Canis lupus familiaris: one gene and its partner. The protein of the gene in region 2 purifies or fractionates together with the protein of the main gene of each other region. This does not show direct contact. Links are inferred from orthologs where the notes say so. Each region holds a gene or a part of one and is shown on either strand. Other genes may lie near its edges.

Region 1 (3,822 bases), on a different chromosome or scaffold from region 2:
AAAAAATAGAAAACAGTTTTCTTTTACACATACCAGGAAACAACATATTCATATTTCCTATTAAAGAGGGGGAGGTAGACACACACATACACATACATAATGTGCAGCTAACAGGACAGAGTGGTACAGTGAAAAAAAATAGCGGGTTCTAGTCCTTGCTCTGTCACTTTTTAGTTGTGTGAATTTGGACAAGTCAGCTGAATTCTTGGATCTCAGTTTCCAAACCTATGAAATGAGAGAACTGGATGACTGACATATTCCATTCCAGTGACACTCTCCCCCCACCCTTACACACACACACACACACACACACACACACACACACACACAGGACCAAGACACATAACATATGGTAGAGGAAGGAGGAAGACATACAGAAAAAGGAAGGTTGGCAGGGGCAAGAGGGAGCTGAAGGTGCCAGCACGTAAAAATTCAGGGAAGACACTCACATACCATCTCCCCACAACCAATTGTGTTTGAAGAGGGAGGAGATAACAACACACAGATAATCAGAGATCACCATATACATACACATAGCTAGAGAGAGCCAGATAAGAAGAAAGAAGAGATAAGAATTCAGTTCCACAGGTTTTAAGGTGAACATTAGTAAAAACTGCCTTTCATATTCCACTGTCCACTTAGGCTGTGTGATGAAAGCAAATTAAAATAGGTTTCTGCAAACCTAAGATTATCGAAATGACTACTAACAGCTCTTCACATGCTCTAATGCAGCTCTTACGGTTGTACATTAGAATCACCTGGGGGAGGTTTTTTCAAATATCCATGCCTAGATTCTAGTGATACACACGCTGCCTCCTAAATCTGTGGGTGCTCTGCTCTGAATGGAAGAGTTCCTTAAATGGTAGGACAAAGCTGCTACAATGGTGGCCAGAAAATAACCATCTTAAGGGACAGTGAAACTAGAGGAAGGGAGTTTCTAATCTTCCTGTTTTAACAAGCTGAGAAATAGTCCAAGTCGGAAAGCAGTAACAGTCAGCTTCAATAGTTAATTCCTGAATAGATCAAGATTTCATATAGAAGCAAGAAGTATTGCACATACCTGTCTGGATCCCTGGGGGCCAACTGCCCCCATGTTAATTGGACTGGGACCCTGGATTCCACTAGGCATAGGGCCTCTAGGGCCAGGGACTGGGCCCCTTGCATCCATACTTCTGGCCTCTATCCCTCTGACTTCCATTGCACGGGCCTCCATTGCACGGGCCTCCATTGCACGGGCCTCCATCGCACGGGCTTCCATTGCTCGAGCCTCCAATCCTCTGGCATCTAATCCTCTAGCCTCCATGGCTCGTGCCTCCATCCCTCGTGCATCTATGCCTCGGGGATCTCTACCGCCTATAAAGAAAGTTGTAAGAAAACCACTGTGTAACTACTCATCTTTATGGCAAAAAGAACCAATAGTCAAAGATAGAAATTTATTTCTCCAGTCACATCTCCCCCCAACTACAGATGACCCTTTTACAAGGCAAGGATTGGAGTACTCCCCCAAAAGTTAACTATTAACAACCTACTGCTGATGGTAAGCCTTACCAAAAACATAAACAGTTGATTGATACGTGTTTTGTATATTATGTTCTGCATTCTTACAACAAAATAAGCTAGAGGAAAGAGAATGTTATTAAGAAAATTGTAAAAAAGAGAAAATACCTTTATAGTACTGTACTGTATTTATAAAAAAAATATGTATAAATCGACCTGCGTAGTTCAAATGTGTTGTTCAGGGACTGCTTTCTGTCTCAGTTTTACAGATAAATCTTAAAAATGTTTGTCAACCCCATTGCCCTAGCCTTCTTTTATCCAAGATTAGAACCTAAGATAGCTGGGTTTATTATCAGCCCACAACCAGCAGTCAGCCTTGTGATGTGGTCTCCCCTTACCTCTGCCATCCAAGGGTGGACCCCTCTGATCTAGCATGGGTCCTCTTGGCTCGGCCATTAGAGGTCTGGGCTCAGTTAATGGTCCTCCCCTCATCTCATGTGGGGGTGGGCCACGGTTGTCATGGCCAGGGACATGGTGCATGGGTGGACCCTGATGAGGCGGTCCCAAGTAACCTCTAGAGATGGAGAAAAAAAGTTATATTTTAAAATAGAACAACAAAAAAAGTGTCAACCAGGAGATCAGTAAGAAAAAAAAATCAAAGAACTGATGCTAACATTAGTTACAAATGCTAAGAGGATTAACACCAAATAGGTAAAAAACAAAACAAAACAAAACAACAGCTATGGATAAATAAACCTGTATATCCTGGAATTTTATATTTGGTCAGGGCACTCATAATTAAGGAGGAGGTTATGGACATCCATTGTACAGAATGAATATGGAGTACAGTGCTTAAGAACACGGGTTACTGTATGGGTTCAAATCTAAGCTTTATCACTTATTAGCTGTGTAATCTTGAGCACATTTATTTGACTTCTCTATGCCTCAGTTTATCTGTAAAATAGGACTGATATTACTGTCAATGTGGATTTAATGAAATAATCTAAGTACTCACAGTAGTCAGAGGCATAATCCTCATTAATATCAATCATCATTATATTATTGTTATTATTATTACTACTACTGATAAGCAAGAAGATTTTCCTGTTTAGATATGTGTTAGAATTTCCAATTTCTTTTTTTTAAAGATTTTATTTATTTATTTGACAGAGAAAGAGAGAGCACAAGCAGGCAGAATGGCAGGCAGAGGGAGAGGGAGAAGCAGGCTCCACACGGAGCAGGAAGCTCGATGCGGCACTCAATCCCAGGATCCTGGGATCATGACCTGAGCCGAAGGCAGACACTTGACTAAGCCACCCAGGCACCTGAGAATTTCAAATTTCTAAAGATGGAGTAGCCATGGTTCATTCAAAATGACATAATCAACTACATAGTTCTGTCCAAGGAGAAGTGCTTAGCCTTGGACAGCGGCCGTGAATATTTACTTACCTTTTGAAGTAGGCAAATAGGTACAGAAAGACTGTGTTCTCAAATCGAGAAAGATTCCCTCAATCTTTCCTTTCTATGTTAGTGCTTACCTAGGCTCTACCTCTCCAGTTACAGAGAGTAAAGTGCCTCCACGTGGGTCATTTGGAGCATCTCCTAGTAAACCTCGAGGGGTTGGGACGTTGGCAGGCAAGGGCCCACGCTGCATAGCTGCTCTGGGGTCCTGCATCGGCACTGACAGGGAAACAAACAGGGAGTTACTGTTGTGAAGGACACATGAGGAAACAAGAAATGACTCTATATACCACTGACAACATAATTCAGACACCTGAGAGTGGGTGAAACCTCACCACAGCAGACTCCTCTTGCAGCTCAAGAACAGAAGCAGGGTGTAGGCAGAATCTGTGCCATGTCAGAGGTATGGATGGAATTATATAAAGAGCAAAGTGGGGGGCAACCTGCCAAGGACTAGCACTTCAACCTGTAGAAACTTATGCTCCTGGTTTTCCTTATATAATCAACCTTAGTTCAAGGACCAGAGTCACAAAAGAGAGGTAGGGTCTTGGCATTTGTGAACACTGCCATGGCTCTGCAAGAACCTGCTGTCTCCTTACAGACTGCTATTCCATCCAAGCCTCCTGACACCAGTAGGGAGGGAGTACAGCCTCGGACAGATGCCCATATCATCCATGTTCTCTGCCCTGTGTGAAGAGGTCAATCTTAGGCTTGTGGCCCCAACAGGAAAAAATTTAAAAACAAAAGCCCAAAACACTACCCTTTTGGGTTTTGAACGTGAGGATGACTGCCAAGCAGCCCTTGTCCTCTCAACGTCCCACCCTGAACACCATAAGCAAAAGGAAACCCGTAGATACAATGGGT
Region 2 (3,822 bases):
TGACAGGTTGAATCAATTGTTCTGTGCTTGTAATTACAAATTGTACTTCTCACACTCCAGGGGGTTCCAAACCTTTTATCTTTGCTATTAACACTTAAATTAGTAATTTATAGAAATTGTGAGATAGAGAAATATGTATATATGTGGCTGTGTGTATACGTACTGTTTTATATATACATAGTCACATGCTTTATTTCTTGGTTGTCTGAATTTCTTAAAATCAGTTACATGTATCATTTATTATTTGAACTATTTACCCCACATCACAAAACGAAATTTGTTTCTTATAAAATCTCTCTAGATGAGTATTGGCAGAACCACCCAGAACTCCATGATATCCCCATATACTACGCATCGTCTTTGGCCAAGAAGTGCATGGCGGTGTACCAGACATATGTAAATGCCATGAATGACAAAATCCGCAAACAGATCAACATCAATAATCCCTTTGTTTTCAAGCACATTAGTAACCTCAAGGTGAGTGCCGAGGAAGGAAGCTGACGGACCCGTAAACACAGAGTCCATAGTGCTCTTAGCTGCCTGCCATTGATTTGGGGCCAGTCCTTCTTGCTGAGGTCTCACTGTTTCTCTAGCAGGCACCATTTTTCTGCCTGAAAACAAAAATCTGGTAACTGGCATACTTTTCTGCTGAAACAGATTTCACCACTTGTTCCAACTCTCCATACATTCTCAGTATTTACGCTTGCTGATTTAGTTGGGTCTCTCTGCCATAGGAACAGGAAGTCCTGATGAAAAAAAATCTTACATCACATATTAAGTTTTTCTATTCTTGCTCAGACCTAATCATCTTTCTGATTTGCCTTGCAAATTCCACGTATGAAAATTTTCATATGTTTACTTTTGTAGAACATTCAATACAGTCTGATTTCCTTTTGTTAAAAAATAGTTTTAACAGAAGTATTGTTTTATTAAAACTAATGCTTTAATCTTAATAAATAATGCCTCCAAATAATTCAAGCTATAAGTCCTCTTCCAGTTATAAATGGGCTTTGTTTATTATTATTTTCTAAATTAGTTGCTTAAGAATTAGAGCCAGATTTTCCCTAGAAACAATGTTAAACTTTTTTGGTTAGATTTTTAAGTAGCTTAAAATATTCATGAAGTATGCAAGGCTATTGTGAGCAGGAGAATTCTTTTAGAGTTCTATCTTGGACAGATAGGAAGCCATTTGACTCTTACTTTTTCCTGCCTGCCTAGCAATAAAAATGGTCCTAATAGTCCATTAATTCTGGTAGAAGGTTTAAAAGGTCAGCGTGAGCTAATTGCCTTCTATCACTTTGTTCTCCTTTCATTCCTAGCCTAAATTGTTTAGGAACTTAGATATCAGACTTAAAATGTTTATCACTAGTCTTGAGGCCCTTTCAGTAGTGTGATTAATCTTTTCACCTAGCTTTTTGTTATTCTTTAAAAACAAGGAATGCCTTGCCAAACCCTGGTACTTAGCATTCCTCTACCATTCCTTTTTCTCTCTTAGAGCATGGATCATTTTGATGACATTGGTCCCAGCGTCGTGATGGCCTCCCCGGGCATGATGCAGAGTGGCTTATCCAGAGAGCTCTTTGAAAGCTGGTGCACAGATAAGAGGAACGGCGTCATTATAGCAGGGTACTGTGTGGAAGGGACACTTGCCAAGGTCAGCCATGGTCTTAGACCACCATGTTATTCCTAATCAGAATTGCCAAGGTGGCTCAGTGAAGCCTAAGGATCACCCATCTGGTCGCAGTAAAAACTATGGAAAGGAACCCGTTTGAGACCAATACAAAAACACAGACAACCCTCATTCACAGAAGAAGTTTGCAAATATGTGTTCTCTTGAAAAGTCACATGTGTCTGGGTTGATTGCCTATCTTCTTGTTGATACAAAACGGTTGATGTTAACTCTTGAGGACATTTCCTACAAATTGCAGGAAATAGGTGCTGAGCTCCAGAAGCAGTTTCTGAGCATCTAATCATCACATCCTCTTATCTCTTCTTTCTAGAACTTGTCTTATTTTTTTAAATACGTTATGATTCCCCATTTTTTTTACTACTTTAGTGTATTCTCTAAGTCACACAGGCAACCTTGGCTGTGATTTAAAATAGATTTCCAGGGATCCCTGGGTGGCGCAGCGGTTTGGCGCCTGCCTTTGGCCCAGGGCGCGATCCTGGAGACCCGGGATCGAATCCCACGTCAGGCTCCCGGTGCATGGAGCCTGCTTCTCCCTCTGCCTGTGTCTCTGCCTCTCTCTCTCTCTCTGTGACTATCATAAATAAATAAATAAATAAATAAATAAATAAATAAATAAATAAATAATAAAAAATAAATAATAAATAAATAAATAAATAAATAAATAAATAAATAAATAATAAATAAATAAATAAATAAATAAATAAATAAATAAATAAATAAATAATAGATTTCCAGAATAGAAGCACATCTGTCTGAAAGCGACTTTCTAGAACAGGAGAATAGCTGGGAATACAAGTTTGCCTTTCTGGTCATAAGTTACAGTTGCCACTTCCTATGTTCCAAATACATTGAATTTTAGCTAACCTGCTTACCTTCCTGATAAAATATTTGCTTGACCAAGAACTTAAGTATTTGATATTTACTGAGTCCATTGTTAAAACGCTTTGTGTGCTAACAGTCCCGAATTTAACGTAAAAGTTTTTGGCTGCAGTAACAAATAGAAAATGTGCCTTTTCTCTTCTAATTGGGTAGTTTATTTGTTTTGTTTCTTTTATTTTTGTTTCTGTTTAACAGCATATCATGTCTGAGCCAGAAGAGATCACTACCATGTCTGGACAGAAGCTACCACTGAAAATGTCTGTTGATTACATTTCTTTCTCTGCTCACACAGATTACCAGCAAACCAGTGAATTTATTCGTGCTTTGAAACCGCCTCATGTGGTTAGTCTATGAATTTGATTTATGACATTAAAGGGGAAGAAAACATACCCAAGAGACTGTAGCCGATTTGGTTTTCAAATCAAACGCTGCCTGTCATTAGGGTAGCTCTTCCCCAGGGGCCACTGCCTGCACCTGGACCTGACCTTTGCAGCTCCCTGCTGAGTTAGGAAGGTGTGCGCTCTGCTTGTCTCCACTTACCTGGGGTCCCTCATCAGCTCCCCCAACCCCAACTCAGGGCTCTTTCTGTCATTTTTTGCTGCCTCCCCAATAACTTAAGACCACAGGCTTTGCTGGTGACTGTTTTGAATCCCAGTTCCATCCCTCACTTGCTGGGTAACCCTGGGCAAGTTACTTAACTTCTCCCTGCCCTATTTGTAAAAAGGGATAATAATGCCTCATAAGGCAGCTGTGAGAAAGGGATGAGAGAACATATATCTAAAGCATGTAATATGGTGCCTGGCATAGAGTAAATGCTCAATAATAGGGAAAGAAGAGAAAGACAAATCACATAATAGTAAAAATCAAAGATCCAAATAGATCTGAAATCACATAGCTCCTTACTGATGTGTTTTGTTTATATTTTTTAAGTTTTATGTAATAACAAAAATAAGTTACATTTTGGTGAGGTTGGAGAGGGGATAAGAGAAGAAAGCTAGAAAAAAAAATAGGTATTTTTAATCAACAGAACACTCAGGGAACAAGGGTGTAGGGGGGGGAAGCAGATGGAGTGCCCTTTCTGAATGTATTAAAAAGGATGTTTAGAGGAAATAGCCTTTTGCTGGTTTTTTCATTGTGGGAAAATATATATAATATATAAGTTGCCATATATAAGTTCTATGGAAGAAGCATAGAATTCTGTGGCATGAATCACATCCACAGTGTTGTGCACCATCACACCACCTATTCCCAGA

What was found.
Region 1: the proteins of CPSF3 (region 2) and CSTF2 purify together in Homo sapiens (affinity purification with mass spectrometry; 3 studies listed by BioGRID and IntAct, with this or other methods). This does not show direct contact. The link is inferred for Canis lupus familiaris from reciprocal best matches to the Homo sapiens genes CPSF3 and CSTF2.

What each region holds. Positions count from the first base shown.
Region 1 is NC_049260.1:75,175,447-75,179,268, reverse strand, and holds part of CSTF2 (cleavage stimulation factor subunit 2), read right to left. Parts: intron 3,645-3,822; coding exon 3,558-3,644; intron 3,178-3,557; coding exon 3,036-3,177; intron 2,072-3,035; coding exon 1,896-2,071; intron 1,354-1,895; coding exon 1,061-1,353; intron 1-1,060. UniProt on the Homo sapiens protein: One of the multiple factors required for polyadenylation and 3'-end cleavage of mammalian pre-mRNAs. This subunit is directly involved in the binding to pre-mRNAs.
Region 2 is NC_049238.1:6,561,284-6,565,105, forward strand, and holds part of CPSF3 (cleavage and polyadenylation specificity factor subunit 3), read left to right. Parts: intron 1-301; coding exon 302-477; intron 478-1,495; coding exon 1,496-1,654; intron 1,655-2,764; coding exon 2,765-2,911; intron 2,912-3,822. UniProt on the Homo sapiens protein: Component of the cleavage and polyadenylation specificity factor (CPSF) complex that plays a key role in pre-mRNA 3'-end formation, recognizing the AAUAAA signal sequence and interacting with poly(A) polymerase and other factors to bring about cleavage and poly(A) addition.